3 linked regions of the Caenorhabditis elegans genome follow. The protein of the gene in region 2 interacts with the protein of the main gene of each other region in a pairwise test. Each region holds a gene or a part of one and is shown on either strand. Other genes may lie near its edges.

Region 1 (7,891 bases), on a different chromosome or scaffold from region 2:
CTTCCGCGAAACCATCCCTGGTGACGCCCGTTTTGCACCAATCCCACTTATGGACAAATTGGTCGCTGAAGGAAAGCTTGGCAGAAAAACGAAGCAGGGATTCTACACGTATTGAACACTTTTTGAGCATATTTTTTGTGTACACTACTTGCCAGCTTTTTGATGTATATTTTGCTTCTTACAGGTCATAGTTTCAGAGAAATAAATATTTACATTTGAAGTTTTTGATAATCTAGAATTTTTGTAATAATGTCCATAACATGGAAAATGTCTAAATTGGCACATTGAAGTAATTCCCAAGTTGAAGTAAGTTGTCTCAGGAAAAGTACACTACCGAACTGGTGCAACTCTATATTTACTAAAAATAAATTTCTGGAACAGTTTTTTGGTATTTTTCAAATAAGCTAATATATTTTCTTTGTAATATTCAAGAGCGTATCTATTAAATTTATGTTTTCAAATGTAAATTAGAAATTCTTAAATATTGCCAAAAAATAATTTAAAACAATTTTTTGAAAAACGATTCAAAGATTATTCACAATAAGATTATTGAAAAATATATGATAAGACGTTTGTAAAGTTTAGTTTCAGATCAATAATAAAAATTGTTATATTTTGCTCATGAATTATTTATTTGCTTATAAAAAAATCTTTTAGATAAATTCATCTATAACCTCTCAAATTCTTCTTTCTCTTCTTTTTCCTCCTTCTCTGGTAGTTGTGACAATTTCCTGCCAACCGTTGATAAGCTATTGGTTTTCACCAAGTAATAAATAAAGAACATATGACCACAAGAGACGAACCCGTAAGAAATAAATATACAAATTGCAAAAGTTGCCGGTAATGGGAGAATAATGACTAGAACATCTTTTAAAACGGAGAACGTTTGGCACAACGCGTTGTGCATTCCGAATACTGTATTTCGTTCTCGTTCTGGGATGGTGACTTGCATTATGTGAGTGATAGCCAGATCCAGGCACCACAATCCTGAAAATTGATTATTAAAATTAATTTTTAAAAAATTCCTGATTTTTTTGACATTTCCTAATATGTATTAGTTAAAACTTGAAATTTGACCGGCTTTTCAAGCGGCTGGAAACAATTTTTTTTTTGTAATTACTGTCAAATTTTGAGTACAAAATGTAATTATGTTGCGTTTTCAACTTGAGATTTTTAATTTTTTTAAACCAAAACTTGCCGTCCATCGACTTTAAAATACCTATATGAAGTTAAAACACAAGATAATTACATTGTATACTTAAATTTTGACCATGGTTTCAAAAAAAGATAGTTTCCAGCCGCTTGACAAGTCGGTCAAATTTTCAATTTTAACTAATCTTAGCCCATTTTTTGAGCCGTCATAACTTTTTTTTGAGAATTTTTCAAGGAGTTTCATTATAAAATTAGGAGTTTTCAGACAATTTTGAGCCTGATAAGGTAATAAAAAATTCGACTACACCACCTTAAAAAAAACCCAAACTCACCATATCTTGCGGATGCAATCGCAATCAAGAACACAAAGATGCTGGCCAAACTGACACCATCAGACGAAAAGTGCTTCCAATCAACATGTGGGTCCAAGTTTGTAGCGTTATTCCCGTCGAAAGAGTGAACCATATCGTGCCACCAAGTTCCCATAGTGAAGTTTCCAAAGTATCCACCAAGGTTCATAGGAGATCCCGGGAGGAACACGGATATAACTGCTAGAACCGCAAAAAACTGCTGAACAACCAATCCCAGTAGTCCTGAAGTGGCGACACTGTATCGCTTTTCGAAGAATGCGTAGGAAAACGCTCCAAGGATCGCAGTCACGGATCCATAGGATCTGAATGCTCCGATAACAAATTCCGGAAGCCCTACACTTGAGCCATATCCTACAGCTAATCCATCAAATCCCATCACTGTCATGAATAGAAGACTCATTCCAAATGCAGCTGGGAATGAGATCTGGCACCAGTACGTGTAAACCACAGATTCTTTGAGCCTTGAATTGGCGAATGGGTCTAGCGCTTCATCTTTCTTGTCTTTCTTCACTTGAAGCAGAGGATTGGAGATGTAGATTGCTCTAAGGAAAATGGTTTTTGAAGCCATTGAAACAAGAGAGGCTATACCAAATATTCCAACTGTTTCACGAAGACCAACCCAGGTCACCAGAGCCTTAACTTAGTTTGTTTTTACTTTGGAATTAAAAAGCGAACACAGAACTAACACCAGTTACTAACGGTGCAATAACATTGGTACATTGATCCAATGTCAACAGAGTTGCGTTCATATTCGACAGTGTACCATCATTTCCGAGTACCATAACCCAATCTCTGCCTGTGATGAACTTTTCCGCGTTCAGGAAAAGCCGGTTCACCGCGCATATGCACATTGCTAGAACCAGGCAGACTATGTACCACGGTGACGTGGCATCGATAGACAGACAAGCTTAAAATATTTTAGCTTCGAGTACCTACATCAGTGTCAAATTAGAACTCACTGATAATAAGAGCAGCTGCAGCACAAATACTCAAATTGTTCAACGGTACGACGGTCATGATTGCTGAAATTGAAAACTTGATTTTCTCTTACAAATACTCACGAAATAAGTATTTGATTGTAGTTTTTGTTAGGTCAATGTGATACTTGAACAAATCATTTTTGCAGTAATCGAAATTTGTAAAAATGAATCGTTCACGTGGAGTCAGAACGTCCCATTTTGCTGTGATCTTCGAAAAATGCGAGAGAAGAGACGCAGAGATCTCATCTGATTTTGCATGGTTAAGAGCGTGCTGACGTCACAATTTTTCTGGTAAAATATTCCCATTTGTCGTAGATCGAACCGCAATGAGGCAGGCTGACACCACGGGATCGTTTAGTTGTCTACCGTACCCCGTTTCCTCGAGAGCCCGTCGAAATGCTTTCCTAAATATCCGCTGAGAAACATTTGCAAGACTCCCTCGAAAAGCTGCTCAATGGAAACCACTCTCATACCACCCATCAGGTCCATACAAAGAGAGACACAGAATGACCAAGCCCTGTCTTCCTGTAAATAGTATCGAAAAATTGAATGTTCATGTTTTTCCACATTGAACTAAAAAACAATTTTGAAGTTTATAAAAGTATGCGAATTTCTTTTTTTTTCTTCCTAGTTTTAAATTCCCTCTACACTCACCAAGCATGTCGAAATATAGGCACAATACAAAAATATGCTCGTTTTCGAAAGGGTGCCACTGTTTCGTCGATTATTCGGTTGTTGAAAAGTCATTGTCACAGGAATCAAACTGGAAATCTCTGCACTTCCATCGCCCGCGACACACTTACTGATTTCCATGTTAGCGATAACCTCTATATATTCTGTGATAACGGGCAGGAAGTTCAACAAAGTGTTGGTGCACATACATCATGAATTTTTTCTCTTGTCAATCAAAGATTATTTGAATAGGCCACTCGAGTGCACTGCTCACCGTCTCTTTTTTTTTCATCTTTGCTCGTCTTACCGAACACTTTTTCACGCGATAAATTGTTTGCCGCGCGGCATGAGAAGGCGGAAGATGGTTGGGATAGTTTCAAGCGAGATGGTATATAAGCCCACAATCAAATGGAAATACTCATCCGATACTTTCGGCTCTAATCATGCGCTTCACCTCCCTCGCCATTGCCTTCTTCGCCTGCGCCCTAGTGGTGTCTGTAAGTTGTGCAAGATCTAAAAATTTGAGTCTACGAATATTAATTTTCAGGGCAATGTGCTTCGTGAGAAGAGACAATGCGGATGTGCTCAACCCCAGCAGAGCCAATGCTCGTGCCAACAGGTTCAACAGACTCAATCGTGCTCGTGCCAATCTGCTCCAGTTCAGCAACAATCCCCATCATGCTCTTGCGCTCAACCACAACAAACCCAGAATGTTCAGGTTACTAGCAAACTTATGCTATAGCTCCAAAGAGAGACTTTCAGGTCCAAACCACTCAATGTGCTCCAGCTTGCCAACAGAGCTGCACCCAACAATGCCAGGCTGCACCATCGGTAGCCCAGTGCCAGCCACAATGCCAACAGCAGTGCCAATCCCAGTGCGCTCCAATGTACAATCCACCAGCCACCACCACACCAGCTCCAGTCGTCCAATGCCAGCCAATGTGCCAACAGCAGTGCCAATCCACCTGTGTTCAGCAACAACAACCAGCTTCCCAATGCCAGCCACAATGCCAGCAACAGTGCAACGTTGCCTGCGATGCTCCAGCCACATCCACTCAGGCACCACAAGTAGTCCACATCCAACTCGAGATCCAACAGGCTCAAGCTCAATGCCAACCACAGTGCCAGCAACAGTGTCAATCATCCTGCACCCAACAACAACAGCCAGCTAACCAGTGCAATTCGGCTTGTAACAGCCAGTGCTCCAACATTTGCCAACAAACTGCTCAAGCCACTCAACAGGTCTACAACCAGAACTCTAACACCAACACCCAAATGTACAATCCATACAACAACAACAACCAAGGTTCCGGATCCGCCAACTGCGCCCCAGCCTGCCAGCCAGCCTGTGACAACTCCTGCACTTCTCAGACTCCAGCTCCAATGTACAACCCATACGATGCCAGCACATCCGCCCCAGCATCTTCCCAAGCTGTGATCCAAATCGTTCTCCAATCCTCCGTCGCCCAGTCCTCCCAGTGTACTCCACAATGCGAGCAGTCGTGCCAGCAGCAATGCGTTCAGCAACAACAACCAGCCGCTCAGTGCCAGTCTGCCTGCCAGGACTCGTGCTCCAGCTCCTGCCAAGCCGCTCAGCCAGCGACTACGGCTTGCCAGCAGAGCCCACAAAGCCCACAAAACTCGTGCTCCTGCCAAGCTAACTACTCTCCATGCGGAAATGGACAGTGCTGTAGAAGAAAGTGAACGGACTCTGAACAATGACTTCAAGTTTTTGTATATAATGAAACCAATTAGTTTCACAAGAACTTAATAAACAACTTTGATATTTTAATTGATTTACATTATTTGGTTTTTTATTGTCTAGAAAATGAACAATGACTACAAAACTTATAGCTGGCTCACAGTTTATTGACTAGATTAGCACTAAAAAATAACATGGCCGCTTTTCAAGGAAAGGTTTTTATTTTATTTTATTTTTTAATGTCAGACTTCAAAACGAGACAAGTGCCATTTAAAAGTGTTCCATAAGGATATATTACTACAAAATTTTAAGCGGCAAAGCTCCACTCTCAACCCCTCTAGCATCGATCTGAAACTGTTACAGTGCACTTCTTCACTACTTTGGAGGCCTGTAGAATTGCTCCAAATTTTTTTTGTTGCAAACTTTCAATGTTTTTCAAAACGGTTAAAAGTAGGTAAGCATTCTGGAAAATTTTTGAAAATTTTTAAATTTTTTCAAAAAATCTGAAAAATTTTTGAACCGAGTGGAGTGGATTGAGGAAATTTTTAGATTTTTTTTTCAAAAATTTTTTAAAATTTTTAAAAATTTCCCAGAATGTAAACTTATTTCTAGCCGTTCTAAAAAACATTGAAAATTTGCACAAAAAAAATCAGGACCAATTCTACTGGCCTGAAACAATTTAAGATCGAAATTTTTGGGGTTGAGAGTAGAGCTTTGCCGCTTAAAATTTTGCAGTGACATAGCCTCATGAAACACTTTCAAATGACACATGATGGTTGCATATTACGAAAAAATGTTTCCTATCGATATGTCTCGGTCACCATAGAACCAAGTCTAATGTGAACACGAGACCATAAGAGACATAGAGAGTGAGACGCATTGCATCTTGTGAGTGAAGAGACCTCTGTGCCTCTTTCTCTCTCATCTATCGATTTGCATTTTGACTTGGCTTTATTTTCGGGGTTTTGTGGATTTTTAGAACCTGAGTTTTGTAGCTTATTTGAAATATCATATTTAATATTTAAAGGTGGAGTAGCGCCAGTGGGGGTTTTGTTTAAATGCACTTATAATGATCCAAAACAACCGAATATCATAATAATAATAAAACACTCCAAAAAATTTTAGATTTTTCATAATTTCTGATCAAAGTTTTGGCAAATCGCCAAAATTTTGAAAAATACGAGCTTTTGAGGAAATCCAAGGCAATGTCGCATGTTCACACCCCTACAATGTTTTAATACAAATAATTAAAACAAAATTAAAGTATAAAAAATGTAGGAAAAAATAAGTTTTTTGGTCGAGTTCCAAAATTACGAGTAGCAAAAACTGTGTAATTGCCACTTTTTGACAGTAAATAAAAAATTTTCAAAAATTTTTTGGAAAGTTTTATCATGATATTTGGTCATTTTGGGACTATAGGAGTGGTTTTTAACAATTTCCCCACTGAGGCTACTCCACCTTTAAATTTGAGGAATCAACCCCCACTGCTCTAATATGGAACATCGTGACGACGACTTTGAATTTGGACATCAATTTGGCGGGGACGAGGAGGAGGAGGAAGAGGAAGAAGCGATTGATGTGGATAGTCCAGATGAGTTGGATGTTGACGCCGAACCTGATGACGACTCTGATATGGAAGTCTATCATATGGAGACGAATGGAGCCGCCAATGGAAATGGAAGACAGGTCATTGGAGAAACGGGTGATGAAGAGGAAGATGATGACTATGATGAAGAAGACGCAATGACTTGGGATTCGATGTCAACAATCAGTGAAGTTGAGGTGGAAAAGGATGATGACGAATGGTATCCATTGATGAAGAGAGATAACGTGTTTCCGAACTTTGCATTACCAACTACCACGTGAGTTTTTTCTCTACGGTTTTTCAAAAAATTGATTTCCGGCAAATCGGCAAATCTCAAAATTTACCGAGCTCGGCAAATTCGGCACAATTGCCGTGCTTAACAAATTCCGAAAAATGTTATATTTTTAAATATTTTTTGGAGCACTAAAAGTACTGAATTCTTAACCCGCGTCTTTTTTTTTTGATTAAGTTCCGTGTGAAAAATGTAAAAATGACTCAATTTTGTGTCATTTTACATAATTTTTGGGGAAAAAATCAATAGTGTTGGTCAAAATTGTATTTTTAAATTTTTGATGTATAGAGCAAATTTCAAAATTTGCCATGCTCGGAAAATTCGACCAATTTGCCGCACACCGGCAATTGTCAAAACTTTTCGGCACGTTGTGGTTTTGCACATTTTTTTTGGTAATTTCAGAATTTCAATTTTAATCGGCAAAATTGTAGGCATCCTATGAATGTGCCTATATCTATTTTGAAAAGTAAGAAAATTCTATGAAAATATCAAGAAAAACAGGAATAAAATAGGACCAGTTTTAAGTGCTTCCGTCTTATAAAAAATCGCTTTAAAAACTTCCGGCAAATTGGTAATTTACCGAAAATGATATTTTCCGGCAAATCGGCAAACCGGCAATTTGCCAATTTGCCGAATTTTCTTACGTTTCGATTTTTCTCGTGCCGAGCTTCAGTTCATATCCCTATTTTAACTTTATTAGTATTGCCAAATTTCATATTAAAAATATTAAAAACAAAAAAATAGCCACCCACGATTTTAACTTGAACACATAAATCTCAAAAATTCCAGACGCGCTGCTTTCCGCATCGGCCCACAGCCGATCGCATCCGCCGATCCTTCATCAACTCCTGGCTCATCAGAACACCATTCAGACACTGAAGACGTCGAATTCAATGACTACAAAGAAGTGATGCGTCCAGATCCGACACGTGAAGAACTCCAACAACTCGTGATTGATCATTTTCTCCACCATGGATACTCGGAAGTTATAGAGACTTTCAGCAAAGAGGTGAATATTGTGGTTCCCAAGAAAGATATCGATAATATGAACGCGAGAAATGAAGTTCGCCGCTTGATTTGTGTTGGCGAAATGGAGAGTGCTATTGAAAAAATGACGACGCTTTGCCCGACTATATT
Region 2 (7,939 bases):
TACTGTAACTTAAAACTTTTGTGGTATTTTTATCGACTTTTCATGGTTTTTATGTCTTCATATCGTTTTTTTTTGATAATTTTTATTAAAAAAACAAATATATTACCTGCTGTGGTGCACGAACAGTTCTTGTTGATGACGTGCTGGCATGATCTTTGCGAGATCTCTCGCTCTTCAGACATCCACGACTTGAAGAGGAACCGTCAGTTTCAGCCCCGGTTTTGTCTGAAAAAAATAAATTATTGATTTTTATTCAATCTGAATGAAAAATTCGAATTCTTACCATCATTATCCAGTGAAACATCAGATTCGTCAGAAGTGTTATCGAAGAGTCGTCGCGCAGGAGCATCTGGCACATTAACGCCATTATTTGCTGGGTTTCCAAAATTTGAAGATGATGGAATGTCTTTGTTCTGTTCTTCCGATTGAGACATGTTGTAGAATGGTGGAAGACGAAGAAGATGATAAGAGTGACAGTTTAATTACTGAAAATGTGCGAAATTTTATATAGTTTTATTTATTTAGGAAACAGATAGTGAAAGTTTGGGAGGAGTTGAACAGTATAAAATAAGAATGACAGGCAGAATGGCTGGGTAAATATTATTCAAATACAAGTATTTTCAAAATTCCGCAAATTTGAACAAGTTTTCATTTAAAAAACACATTTCGAACGGAAAATTTGGGTAAAAGAAAGCTTGGAACATAGTGAAAAAGGACTTTGCGAACAAATAAATTAAAATTTGCTTGATTTCAATTTGTTTTTTTCATTTTTTACAGAAACAACAAATTTCACAGCAGCGTTCTCCTGACTATCACACTTTTTTTTTGAAACAAAAACGAATAAAACAAGCTTGAAATAAAACTTTTGGTACCCAGACGTCTCTGGCCCCAAAAAATTTAAGTTGACGGGTGTCGACAGAGGGAAATGAGTGGCTTTTGGAAGGAGACCTGGGGCCACCAGTCAGCTTCTCGCTTCTTTTTTTTTCTCTAGCACTCTCTCAACTTTACAATACACTCTACGCGCTGCTGCAACTTTTCTGTCAAGTTGTCTGCCGTCTCTTCAGTTGAACTTGGTTTACTTTCGTGGCGAGACACATCAAAGTGACGGCCGACATGTGCCTTTGAGGCTGATGAAATTATTCCCGCAATTTCCAGAAATTTTTGCACTGATTCTGAAATAAAATGACGTTGCAATCTTTAATTTTACTCTTCGTTGTTCAAAAACTTTTCAATTTTATTCTCGTTACAATATTTCACTCTTCATTGACCAAATTTCGCAAATAGAGCGCTTAAATTCAGATTTTAAGTTAAGCATTTAAAATTAATACTCTTTTTTTTTAATAATAATAATAATTTATTACGCTCGCTGGGAGACGTGAAGGAATATAGAATACAAAAGTTATCATTGTTCGCTCGAACTAGAATTGGTGCAGTCGGGCAATCGTTTCCATTCCATTAGAATGTTGTCCTTGTCCTTGCGTTGTCCTTGCGTAGACTCCCCCATAGTGGGCGAGCGATTCCCGAGTGAAAATAATCACGGAATGCCATTTTTAAGCGATGCCATTTTCTATTTCTTGAACTATATATTTTTAAGAATATTTTAATCTGCGCTTTATCATGGATTTTCAATTCAACTTTATATTACTTTTCTAACTTCAATATAAAATTATTTAATAAATATATTTTTATTTTTAAGAAAATGTCCGAGGAGATCAAGCCTTCTGCTCCAGATGCGCCGACTGCTTCGCCAATTGTGACCAGAGACGAGCAAAATTTGGTTGTCTCATTCCTTCAGTTTATCCGCCAGAAGGTTTCACAAAATCAGGCCACTGCCGAGCAAGCGGAAGCTCTTGAAGGTTTTTTCCTATTTATTTCTATAAATTTAGCTTAAGATATATTAAAATTTCAGTTGCAATTCAATGTCTCGAACACTCGTTTGGTCTTGATGATGCCTCATACGCTTTCCAACCATCACGCCCAATTCTCGAACTTTTCAAGAGCGCCGAAGGACTTCCAGAGGGAGAATCTGCTCTTCCAACACCGAGCGATAGTGATATTTCTCAAGCTAACAAGCTTAAAGAAGAAGGAAACGATTTAATGAAAGCCTCCCAATTTGAAGCTGCTGTTCAAAAGTACAATGCCGCCATCAAGCTCAACAGAGATCCAGTCTACTTCTGTAACCGCGCTGCTGCTTATTGCCGCCTGGAACAATATGATTTGGCCATCCAAGATTGTCGTACAGCTCTTGCCCTTGATCCATCTTACTCAAAAGCTTGGGGAAGAATGGGTCTTGCATATTCTTGCCAAAACAGATATGAGCATGCCGCTGAGGCATACAAGAAGGCTTTGGAGCTTGAACCAAATCAAGAGAGTTACAAGAATAATTTGAAAATTGCTGAAGACAAATTGAAGGAGCTGGAAAGCTCGCGACCGGCACCAGGTGCCAATCCATTGGCTGGGCTTTTGGGAGCCATGGGAGGAGGACCGGGAGGAATGCCGGCTATGCCAGGAATGCCAAACATGCAAAACCTTATGAACGAGCCAGGACTTATGCAAGCTGCTTCACAGATGATGAGCGATCCAGCACTTTCTGATATGGTAAGTATCAAATTTTCGGGAATAAAAGATTTAATTGAAATGGCAATGCACGTGGCCGTCAAAATTAATTGTTTTTCATTATTATTGCTTGTTTTTTGATGATGTATGCTCTAAAATATTGAATTTTTCAGTTCAACAACATGATGTCTGGAAATGGATCAATCGCTGATTTGATGGCTGCTGGCCAGCAAATGGCTGCTCGCATGCAAGAGACCAATCCAGAACTTATTGAAAATCTTCGACGCCAATTCGGCCCCGGAGCCGATGGAGGAGCACCACCACCAAACCCACCACAATAGATAATCTCTTCCGCCAATCTCCTTCCGCATCACGAATTTCCATTTCGTTATCTCTCTCTCTCTCTCTTTCCCCTTCTCTCGTCTTTACTTTCTGCTCTCATGTGATTTGAAAAAGCCGAAGTCGCTTATGGTTACTCGTTTTTTTTAGTTTCTCTCGCAGAATTTCCCCTTACAATGATGATGTTATAATCGCCCCCGATTCAAGCCTTATCGAAATATTGTTTTTAATTAGATGGTCATGTTTTAACTACCAACAAAAAATTGGGTCAATTTTCTTTTTTTTCACGAATAATAAATATTGTCGAAATATTCTTTCCATCACAGACACACTGGTTGCAAACGCGCTCCAACACGAAATTATCGATTTGCACCCAAACGAAAGATAGCGCGGGAGTACTCACATTTTCTTTATTTTTGATTTTTTTGTTGAAATATTTTAGTATTAAATTAAACAATTTAAATTGTAAAAAACCTCAAATTTGAAAATAAATTCAGAATGCAACGCCACGAAAGGATTCGATTTTTCATAACTGAACAATGTCGTAATCTGGATCCAACGTATAGAAATTATGTAGGAATTTAATTTTCTGTCAATCTAAATTCTTTTAAAAGTTATTTTCAGATGTACCCGAAACAAATTCTTCTCGGTGACGTTCCTCTACCACTTCTCCCTAATTCTTCACTGACGTTTCGAGTCAATTCAGCTGTAAGTAGAAAATTTATTGCGTGACGAGCATTATTGTGTTTTAAAAACTCTAAAAATGATCAAATAAATTTAATTTTTTTTAGGAAAAAATCTGCTTCCGTATTCGACTTTCGATTGATGACAGCCAGGAACCATTGAATATTGGAATTCCATTATCACAAGTTGAAAGTGTTTCAATTAAAGATCATAGTGCGAAACATCCAGAACCTGCTCTTCTTTTTTTACTTAAGAAAGGAGCTTTAGAGAGATTTATTCAGGTACACTATAATTTTTTCGATTTTCGCACGACAAATTTTTGTAAAATGAAAGAAGGTGTGCGCCTTTGAAAAGAGTACTGTAATTTCAAATTCTCGTTTATGCAGAATTTTTATCGATTTCCATAGATTTTCACTAACAACTTGTGTTTGAAAAAACACATGAACTCGTCAATTCACTGCAAAAAAATTCGAAAAAATTGAAGATTCCGTAGCAACGAAAGTTTGAAGTTACAGTATTATTTAAAGGCGCACACCAGTTTTCACTTAACGGACAATTTTCGTGTCGAGACCAGACCCCGTATAAAACGAATTATTTCAGGTCTGTAATCCACTATTGGGCGAACTTCACACATATCATGGACGAAAACGTAAAATGCTGACATATCTAACAGTAATTCTCGGAATGGATCCACACTTGGAGCAACCGAATCCAGTTTATTGCCGTGTTTCATTAATGGCTAACAAATTCACATTCCCATTTGGAACAGCGAAGAAAATTTTATTAAAAGATGTGAGTTTTGATTTACCGCGTTTTCTAAAAAAAACACCAACAAAAACGTTTTTTCCCGGGGAAAAAAGACGAAAAATGAGTTTTATTCATCTGAAAATACATGAAAAATTAGATTTTTTAAATTAAAGATTTCCCAAAAAAATTATCAGAAAATTTCCAATTTTTCCATAAGAAAACGCAAAGATGTATATTTTTCAACTAAAATATTGCGATTTTTCCAAGAAAAAAAACTATTAAAAATAAATACAATCCAATTTTCCAGTTACCAATAATGTGGCAAGAAGTCTTGGATAAACAATACGATCGTCGTCTGAAAACTGGAATTCATCATGATAGAGAACGAATGGCAGAGATGGATGATGAAGCATGGGATTGGCTTATGTCATTTCTAAATGTTAAATGGGACAAATGTCCCAGTGGTGGACGTTGGTTCGTTAGAGATAAGGATGGTACGTTTTTTTTTTGCTCCGAAAACATTAATAGCCAGTTGTGAAATTCGGTGATTTCGAATAAAAATACGGTACTCGGTCTCAACACGACTAGAACTTAAAAGCTACCGTACCCAGAAGTATTTTGCAATTTCCTAAAATGTGGCAATATTAATTTTTTCATAGAAATACCAAGTTTTTTTAGCACTATAAATCTTGAAAAATTTAAGGAAAAATTGTGGAATACTTGTGAGTTTTGTAGCTGCAAAGTTTCTTGAAAATCGAAAAATTAAAACTACCATAACTACAATGCAATCTAATTTCAGAACTCGAAACTTCAGTCAACGAGCATAATGAGTAAGTTTCCTATATTTTACAACTAAAATTAACTCTGAATTTCCAGAAATCTTGCAATCAAACGAGAAGCTTCACCACAAGATGATCTACTGGCTAAACCAATGAAGCAAATAAAATATTCCGATTCAGATGTTGGTTCTCCAAATTCTATATCTTCGGAATCTTCAGCTTCTATTATGACACGATAAAACACTCGTTTAAAAATCATTTGTTTTCAACCCCGCTAGAACACTTTTTACTATCAGTTTTCCATCTAATTCTTCACCAAAAAATCAAAAATCGATACTCACAGCTGCTCCTTTACAATTTCAGCCGTTGAGTTCTCATCATGACTGGAAATGTATCATTTGGCTGAGTCTATTCAGCGACATTAACCATTTCAACTTTTTTGGCATCAAATGTTTTATAATTTTATTCTTATTTTACTGCACTTTATTGTCATTAATGGCTCAATAAAAATGTTAATAATCAAGTTTTAAACACTGAGACATGCCAGGAGTAAACATTTTCAGATACAGTACCCACAAGAACGGTAGACTCGAAATTTGAATTTTTCAGAGGAAAACAGTAGTTTCACGAGCTGAAAACAAATTTTTTGTGTTGATAAAAGTCCAAAAGCATTTCTGTTCAGAAATTAATTCCAAAATTAATTTATCGTAGACTCAGAATCCGTTGTAGGAGTCTATGACTCCAGGCTCGTCTCTCGGACTCTGAATATCAAAAGACGAAGTGAAGAAGCTTATTGAGATGGAGGAGAAGCCGAAGGAACTTTGGAAGAACTCGTTTTGGCAATTTGCATTTCTATTAACTATTGAATAAATGATTATATGTACATAATATCAACTAGGACCCTTTGGGTCCTGCAAATCATATGGGCCTTCAAATGGCCTGAAATGCCGTATGGGACCATATTTAGCTTAAAAGCTGAAAGGTTCAATACAGAAAAAACAAGGAGATTTCGATTTATTGCACAAGAAGTCTATTAAAAACAAATTGAACTTTCTTATTAAGCCTTCTAAAGGTTGTATTCGATTTGGAGATCCACACAAGCTCCTTTAGGGACCAAAATTTAAAAGCTGAAAAGTTTAAGACACAAAAAACTGAACTTTCAAATTTCATTTATTGAACGTATTGCAAGTTCACAGATCCTATGGGTTGTACTCAATTGGGAGGTTCTTGCGACGGACCATACCGTCTCCTTGGAACCATTCCCGACGGAATTGCTTAGCAGCACCATCCGGGGTGTTGGTCCACTCAACAGTGATACGATCGTTGTTAGTGTCCTCCTGTCCAAAAGCGAAGGCATCGCAGGAAACTGCCAGAAGAACAGCTTCCTTTGGATCGAGCACTCCACATGGTGGATCAACTCCAAGTCTCTTCATATTGGTGGTCTTGATACCGTATCCAATACGGCGAGCCGAGGAGTTAATCACCTTGATGTGGTAGGTGTGCTTGTCGTCGTATGGTGCATTGAAGACGATCTTCGTACCCGGCTGGGTCTGGATCATACCTGTGCGGCATTCGGAATTTTTCGGCATAACGGCATAACGGCATATGCCGCCAAAAATTTTTTTCGGCATATCGGCATATGCCGATATGCCGTCCATTTTTCTTTTCGGCAAAACGGCATTTTCGGCATATGCCGTGAATTTTGAAATCGGCATTTCGGCATATGCCGCGCTCCAAAAACCAGCATTATGCCGGCATTCGGCATTCGGCATTTCGGCATTTTTAATTTAATTTAATTTAATTTATTACGATAGTAAAATATCGTGAGGTAGAAAAAAAAACACACATTAATAGATACAAACCATCACAAGTGGTTACATAAATAAATTACACAAATAAAACGAAACAAAAATAAAAAGAGATGAGAAGAAAATGATGGCTACATTGGAGAAGAAGCAAAAACAGAAATATCGATGTATAAATGGCAAGAATAAATGATGGATAGAAGTGAGGATAAGGTAACATTAGATCAGTGTTGCTTCATTGTGGGTAGTGTTCTGTTAACAAAAAAGTGTCTCCTAAGTTTAGATTTTCCTGTGCTCCAGATATATTTCTTTTTAGAACGAGTGTGGGTCTCTTGTTGCTCAAAAAACTCAGATGTTTTTAAGTCTACTTTACCAGTATTCATTCTGATTATTTGGATTCTGTCAATTATTTTACGTCTCGTGCTTAAGGTTTGGAAGTCGAATAGTTCGTTACGTTCCATGGCAGTTTTGTAATCTTTATCAGTTGGATTAATATATCTTTTTTTGATTCTACTATAAAGGCGCCTAGTGAATGCGTTTTGTACAGACTCTATTGCTTTCTCATCCGATTTTTTTGTCGGAGAAGACACTACTGTTCCATATTCTAAACGAGGGCGGATGAAAGTTTTGAATAAGAGAATCATTAGTTTCTTATTGGAGGTACTGTACTGGTTGAACATGTTGGCCAGTTGAAATTTAGCTAGATTGATACATTTCCTCCAATGCTCAGAGAAATCCAGCTTTTCAGAGATTAAAAATCCAAGGTCTCGGGTAATAGCTTTTCGCTCAATAGGGTAACCGTCTAGGTGGTATTTGAAATCTATTCTACGTTTTCCTACTGTGACGTGAACTGTCTTAGATTGGTTTAGAGTGAGTTTTGATCCCCTTGTCCAATCTACTACAGCATCTAGAGCAGACTGTAAATTGTTTTCGCTTTCAGTCTTAGGGGTCGATACATACAATTTCGTGTCATCTGCAAACTGCTTACATGCTACTTTTTCGGGTAATATTGATGATATATCATTAACA
Region 3 (7,252 bases), on a different chromosome or scaffold from region 2:
TTTAGAAAATGTTTTAATAAAATTGCTAAAACTGCTCTTGAACTTTGTAAATATGTGACTTTTTGATTTTTTCCGTTATCAGCAAGACTTTAATTGTCTTACGAAGTATCGCCTCGCCGTGAATGATGATTTTACCATTAGTGGCGTGCAATAACGATGATAATTGTCGATGAAAAGTGATGTCAGGAAAACTTTTGAACTAAACTTTGGAAAATCAAAAGCAAATACTACATTTACTACTTATACTACACTTAATCCGGGTGGCACTGAAAAAGAGCTGTGTGGAATTTGGCAACAACTTTTTGGCAAACGTCTTTTCTCATTTTCAGTTTCTTTTTAATCTGCAATCAGCAGTATTCAGTTGTCAGAAAACTGCCGCTAGGATCATTTCAAGATAATCCGTAACAGAAATATAATTTTTCGACTAGACGAGCAGTGGATGCTTCCTGCTGAAATTTAGTTTGATCTTCGCACTTGTCTATGTGCAATTTTAAACTTGAGTCCTCAACCAATAAAACTTATCAGAGACATTATGGAGCCAAAAGTGCTGATTTTAAGATTCAATTTCCTATTTCCCGATTGCTTTATCAATTTCACGCCCTTCTAAATATCATCATGTGTCTGTGTATTTAACCGCCGCGATTAAGTACTGCTGCACCGTCCTTTGAAATGCCGAGTCTTACGACTTTCCTATCTGTAGCTCTCCTGGCTTCTGTAGTGTCTGCTGTTGGCAATAGTAGGATCTTCATTTTCAGACTTTTTTTTCAAAAATCCATTTTTTTCCAGCTTGCAAGACTGGAAATGTGGTTCACAAGCCAGTAATCGATGGAACGCCTGTATACTTTCCAGCTACATGGAGAGAAGACAAAGCGGCACCGGCTCTTGCCAAGGACCAATCGTGTAGCTGGATGGTCACTATTCCCCAAGGATACTATGCAAAATTGACGATTAGTGGAAAAATGGGTGATAAGCATTCATACTTCCAAACTGTTGACTGCACTGGAAACGTTGTTCAGTAAGGGGTTTCCCGGTTTGTGAATATGAGAAAATTAAGTTTTCAGAACAAAATTGGAGACAAAGCATCCATATTACTTCCCATCGCCAAAGTTCACTCTAGTTGTGTCGAATGAAGCAGCTGCCACGTTTGCATTTAAAATTGAATGGGCTCCGTGTAAGTTTGGAAGTTTTAATAGTATTTGGGGGTTACCCTAAAAAATTTAAAACAGGCAAATTTTGATTGAGGTGGAGCAGCGCCAGTGGGGAAAGTTATAAAAACCACTCCTATGGTGCTAAAATGACCGAATATCACAATAAAAGTTTTCAAAAGTTTTTTGAAAAATGTTTATTTACTGTCAAAAAGTGAAAATTATCCAGTTTTTACCCTTCATAATTTCGGAAGTCGACCAAAAACAACTTTTTTTCCCTACATTTTTATACTGTAATTTTTTAAAAATTATTTGTATCGAAACATTGTAGGGGTCGGTACATACAATACTGCTTTGGATTTCCTTAAAAACTTATGTTTTTCAAAACTTTGGCAATCTGCCAAAACTGACCGGGAATTATGAAAAATCTAAAATTTTTTGGAGTATTTTAATATGATATTCGGTCGTTCCGGAAGTAACCAATCCGCAAAAAAGCGCCTTAGAAGTGGTAAAAACCCACCGAGGTTTCGCACCCAAATTCTTATGCCCTCTGGGTGATCTTATGTTTAACCTTAATAGATTCCAGATACCACCCAAATATCATACATCGCCGGAATTGGAATGCAGCCACATGTCCTTAATATCACACAGGATCTGTTTGCGGCCGATTTCAGTTCAGACAAAGTTGCTCTTTTCGTCTCTCCAGCCGATCCAAATGACTATTATTCCCTGAGAAGCTCTCTTGTTTTTGAGGGACAAGATTACAATGGAAACTTTGTTGCAAAGTGAGTTTTTTTAAACAAAAATGTTGAGAAAAAAAAAATCAATTTTCAGCTTGTACACGCTCTATGAAACGCACCAGCAATGGGTTTCTAAAGGCAGCATGGTCTATATCGTAAACTTGGAGGCCAGCAACAAAACCGACATTCTGTTAGTTCAAGATATACAATGTATGATACTCTTGGCGTTTTTCTCTTTTTTTTATATCTAAAGTTTTCAGATGCAAACTTTGTTGACTACGTCGAACTTAACTGTTACGGCGTGTCAACATGTTCCGCTTCTGTTGATGGTGGTGATGGAAAATCTGCCGTTCTTTCTTTATATGCCTCCCGAAGCAACGAAACTTTGGTTGATATTAAAATGGACCCGGTATGCCTTTAAAATCATTTTTAATTTTTAAACTCGTAATTTCAGAGTGCAACAATGAAAGTCTACTACGGATCTGAAACTGCGTTCGGCTTTGATTCAACATACAAGTACGTCTGCTAGCAAGGTTTACAGTTCCTAAATGTTATGTTCTTTTCAGTGGTTCAACAATCAATTCGCAACTTCCACTCACGTTCTACGGCGAAGATGTAACTCAATACGTCATTAGCAATGGCAAAGCTACTCTTACTTTTAATATTCCACAATAATTTCAAAGCATAAACGGAAGTATACTGCCATCGACGTATTAAACAGTTTTTTCGTTTTTTTAAAATAAAAGTTATGCAGTCCATCAGCGAAAATTTATAAGCCAAAGTGCTCGAATATTGGTACATTGTTTTTGCAAGATTACCAAAGTAAACAGGTAGGTCTACCTTGCCTGCAAACCTGACCTGCACATGTCTGTTGCTCTGTATTATAAAAATTATGTTTTAACAATAGGTACGTAGGTTGCCTCGAATAGAATTAGTCAACCTTGTGCCTTCCAAACAGTATTTTACAGAAATATTTGACTATTTTTATATGTTTGAACTTTGATATCTGATTTTAATAAACAATCATAATTCATACTGTGTATTAGAAATTATAATTTATTCCCACATATACAAAAAGTGTAAAAGTCCAACAAAAAAACGTGAAAGCAGTTGTTTAAAGTGGTCCTGGAATCAGGAGAGATTTCACATCTCTATTTTTATTCTTGAAATCTCTCATTCTTCTGAACGAGTTTCCAGTGACCTCATTTCCAACTTCAATCGGTCCACCGCCCAACACAATTTCCTCATTGAGAATGAGAGTTTTTGACAGAATAAGGATAAGTTGAACTTCCAAATTAAATTTTTCCTTGAGTTCTTCCAAAGCGGTTTCAACTTGAGAAAGAGTTTGATTTCTGTTGGCGGTGATCTCAGAAAGCATTTTGTAAGTTGATGGAAGTCTTTCAATCACAGAGACTGTGGTCTCATTGAACTTTTCTTTTCTGGCTTGCCATTTGGAAGTGTATACAGCCCATTTGTCCTAGAAAATGGAACTTTAATGGTTAAGTTATTTTATTGAATTAGATTGGGATTATATACTGAAACTTGAGAAAAGCCCAAATTTAATTTTACAAGGCTCACAGTGCAGTCTAGTTTTCTGGGAACTTACAGCAATTCCGTGCTTCTCCGCCCACTCGTCCCACTTTTGGTCCAACTCGGCAAGGGTCAATGTGTGATCGAAGAGAATTTGGAAATAATCATTTTGAGCTTCTTCCGTCAAATTTTGAAAAATTGCCTCCATCTCCTCAGCAACAGTTAGAGTAGGAGCAGGAGTAGGTGCAGCAAAAGCTACAGTGGTGAAGATTATAGCAGAGATGAGATAAAAGAGCATTTTTGAATTCTGCTTGGAAATTTTATAAATTTGCCGGGCTTTTATAGGCTCTCAGTAACTATATGAATGACCATTTCCATATAAGGATTTGTTTGAAAAGCCCATTTTTAGCTGAGCAGCTAAACAAGCAACAATGCGTGATTTTCGAATCGATTCATTCTCGGTCAGGCTTTTTGGTACAGCTAAAGCTTAGTTTATATTTTTTCTCGGGTTTTCTTTTCGAAGCCAACCTTGCCGGGCTCCAACCTTGCCGGGCTTTTATAGGCCCTCAGTATCTCTCAGATCTCTCAATTGATGAATATTATCACTTTTTCTTCAGTAACCTATACTAATTTTTTAACTTGGAAAAACCCCTCCTTTTTGTCCTCTTTTGAAAAATGTAAATTAAAAAAAAAGGATTCTATTAATAATCTTGTATATCAGATACAATTGACAAATAGATGCAAGGTCAGATGTTCAAATATTATTTCATTAAACAGAAACCGTTTTTAGGACAAATGGGATCAGATGATATTAAACGACGACTGACTAGCTGAAAAAAATGAAAAATATGAATGAACTGCTTGAAAGACTGCCGATCATTTTCAAAGCACTGACAGACATAAGTCTCAACAAAAATCAAACATTTCATGAATTTGTTGCAAACTCGATGGAACTGGAGAAAAAATACAGAAACGAATTATTTATTTTGAATGATATCTGGGAGACTTTAATAAAAATTGAGAAGAAACTGTAATTAAACTTCCAATGAATTGTGATAAATGTTCATGTTTTCTGATGTATCAACTTTTTATCTAATTGTAAATAAAATCTGAATTATTTATCGATTTTCGATTACATTACAGATGGAGTCGTGGTTGTCCGAATTTTCCCTACAACATACTCGGAGCAATGTTTTTCAAAGAGTCAACTTTTAAATTCTAGGATTTTTTCGTGCACATTACGAGAAGTGAAAACTTTAATGGCAGTGATGCACGTTATTATCGTAATTGACAAAATACATTTTTAGTGCCGATAACGGCAAATTTGGAAAATCTGCCGTGGTCGCCAAACTCGATAAATTGCGATATTTTTTCACTGACTTTTCAGCCGGAAAAGTGGAAAAATGGACGAAAAAACTTAGCACGAGTTATTAAATTTTTGCATAAAGGGATTTCTTGAATAAATTATTGACGAAAAAACATACACGGTTTTAGGTGATTTTATTCAAATTTTTTAATTGAAACCATCTGGTTTAGACAAAATATCAATAAAACAACATTTTCAGATGTGCAGAAAATTTCAAAATTCGCCGAGTTTGCCCACCGTTAAATTTGGAACATTTGCCGCAAACCTCTCGAGTGGTTTTACAATTGGTTTTTTCAAGTTCTTGAATAGTTGCTACCAAAATTTGAATTTTTCGTCTTGTCCCGTGAAGTTTTTAAACTTTTTCTTACTTTTTCTCCTTTATTATTGTTTGGTTTTTCGACATTTTCTGGTTTTTAACAGTGTTAATATAAGACTTCAAGTAAATAGTTTATTTCCAAATATACAAACATTAAAATGTTTCCAAAAAAAGTTATAGCTTATAGTGGTCCTGGAATCATGAGAGCTTTCACATCCATGCTTCTTCCCTCAAAATCCCTCATTCTTCTGAACGAATTTTCAGTAGCCTCATTTCCAACTTCATTCAGTCCACCGTTCATCACAATTTTCTCATTTAGTCTGAGAATTTTCGACAGAATAAAGATGAGTTGTACTTCCAAGTTGAACTTTTCGTCGAGTTCTTGAATTGCGGTTCCAACTTGAGAAAGGGTTTGATTTTTGTTGGCAATGATCTCAGAAAGCTTTTTGTAAGTTGATGGGAGTCTTTCGAATACAGTGGTTTTTATTTTGTTAAACTTTTCCTCTCTGGCTTGCCACGTTGAATAGAATACAGCCCATTTGTCCTGGAAGATGAAAGTTTTGTTATATATTATATATACGGCCCTGTTTACCGAATAATGGCGAACCGGGTAAAATTTTTCGAACCTAGATTTTTAGTCCTAAATATTTTTGAAACTTTGCTGCAGATTGAGCAAAAAATGTTGAGAGATATACTAACTTTCATTTCAAGAAAGAGGTGAGATTTTTTTCATTTAGCAAAATCGGAGTTTTTTTTTGTAAACTTACAGCAATTCCGTGCTTCTCCGCCCATTCAGCGCTCTTTTGGTCCCTCTCGGCAATAGTCAATGTCTGATCGAAACCGATTTGGAAATAGTCAAATAGAGCTTTTTCAGTTAAATTTTGGAAAACCGCTCCCCCCGCTTCATGTACTGTTAGAGCAGGAGCAGAAGTAAGTGCAGCAGAAGCTACAGTGGTGAAGATTATAGCAGAGAGGAGATAAAAGAGCATTTTTAAATTCAGCTCGGAAATTTATTAAATTCGCTAATCTTTTATAGCTCTACAGTTACTATATGAATGGTTTTTTCCATATAGGTATTTGTTTGAATAGTCGATTTTTAGCTTGGGATGAGCAGCTAAATAAGCAATACGGTTGTATATAGTTAAAAATATACCATTCCTATTGATATCAATTTGATTCTCCAGTAACAGATCATTAAAAAATCATATCAAGCATGTTGAGATACAATGCCAGAATATGCTAAAGTAATATTTAAAACTCACATTCTAACTTAAATTTTTGAAACAAAGCTTTCAACTATAGCTATAGCTAGATACTGAATTTTTATTTGACATTTGATATGTACACATGAGTGCACCGACCGGTACTGAAAAAGTGTTCAACGTTCATATCTGCTAGTGGAAATGAGGTAAAACCTGCTGAATTAGATGAAGAAGTCGTATGAAAAGAACAACCATATGCAAATTATGGTCAATTTGGTTACAAGTGTTCAACTTGAATCAATTCAAAAAGATGATTGGAAAAGAAAACACGGAAGACGCTGAAATATGCGAAAAGGTTTGGATTGACAAAAATTGTAGAAAAATAAACATTTTACCATTTCAAAACGATTTTTAATAAAAAAATTTTTTAATTGAAAGTTAATCTCCGAATCTATCACTGTCCCCTATAATTAAATAAAACAATCAAAAATCATAGAAAAACTGTTTCAATGGGATCATACATAGTTTGAGGAGCTTTATTTTTAAAAAAAACTTGTAATTCTTTTTAGAAAGTCCGGTGAGCCATGGCTGGCTCCAGAAGGACATATTTTGGAAGGTTTTACTTTAATCTTAAAGAGTGGAAATTTCGAAATCATTTCAAAATCATTTCAGTATTCCTTGGTAGGAAATCCGGAAGAACCTTGTTGCAGTTTAAGAAGGCTCTTATGTTGGTCTAGTGGGCGTTGTTTCTGCAAATAACAATTTTTTGAAACTTTCAAAATCTTAAAATCCAAGAAAATCCAAAAACTTACAACTTGCTTGACATATCCAACACCTTAAGATGTTTTAAAGTGAAGAGCTCCTCGAGATCTTGTGTTCTCTTAAACTCCAAGCCTCGAAGTGAGAGCTGTCTGAGATTTTGCAAATTAGAGATCCCTTGAAGATTTGAAACA

The links. Proteins that work in one complex are often made in the same cells at the same time.
Region 1: the proteins of sgt-1 (region 2) and pqn-54 interact in a two-hybrid assay, tested with the Caenorhabditis elegans proteins (2 studies listed by BioGRID).
Region 3: the proteins of sgt-1 (region 2) and srlf-4 interact in a two-hybrid assay, tested with the Caenorhabditis elegans proteins (2 studies listed by BioGRID).

What each region holds. Positions count from the first base shown.
Region 1 is NC_003283.11:1,461,396-1,469,286, forward strand, and holds pqn-54 (Prion-like-(Q/N-rich)-domain-bearing protein), read left to right. Parts: upstream 1-3,594; 5' UTR 3,595-3,618; coding exon 3,619-3,672; intron 3,673-3,722; coding exon 3,723-3,893; intron 3,894-3,937; coding exon 3,938-4,879; 3' UTR 4,880-4,965; downstream 4,966-7,891. Other genes in the region: hacd-1 (3-hydroxyacyl-CoA dehydrogenase), read left to right, coding at 1-115; fpn-1.2 (Solute carrier family 40 member), read right to left, coding at 668-987, 1,485-2,157, 2,210-2,430, 2,483-2,545, 2,875-3,028, 3,158-3,250; gid-8 (CTLH domain-containing protein), read left to right, coding at 6,372-6,739, 7,544-7,891.
Region 2 is NC_003280.10:4,897,554-4,905,492, reverse strand, and holds sgt-1 (SGTA homodimerization domain-containing protein), read left to right. Parts: upstream 1-1,696; 5' UTR 1,697-1,699; coding exon 1,700-1,856; intron 1,857-1,909; coding exon 1,910-2,598; intron 2,599-2,729; coding exon 2,730-2,897; 3' UTR 2,898-3,205; downstream 3,206-7,939. Other genes in the region: btbd-10 (BTB domain-containing protein), read right to left, coding at 107-225, 284-434; R05F9.9 (MSP domain-containing protein), read left to right, coding at 3,394-3,468, 3,520-3,603, 3,687-3,860, 4,180-4,371, 4,634-4,820, 5,126-5,156, 5,203-5,344; msp-32 (Major sperm protein 32), read right to left, coding at 6,305-6,664.
Region 3 is NC_003282.8:12,920,651-12,927,902, forward strand, and holds srlf-4 (SXP/RAL-2 family protein Ani s 5-like cation-binding domain-containing protein), read right to left. Parts: upstream 3,783-7,252; 5' UTR 3,714-3,782; coding exon 3,492-3,713; intron 3,363-3,491; coding exon 3,000-3,362; 3' UTR 2,927-2,999; downstream 1-2,926. Other genes in the region: C32H11.4 (CUB-like domain-containing protein), read left to right, coding at 670-736, 787-1,015, 1,062-1,171, 1,732-1,930, 1,980-2,095, 2,146-2,294, 2,340-2,401, 2,452-2,560; srlf-5 (SXP/RAL-2 family protein Ani s 5-like cation-binding domain-containing protein), read right to left, coding at 5,279-5,641, 5,865-6,086.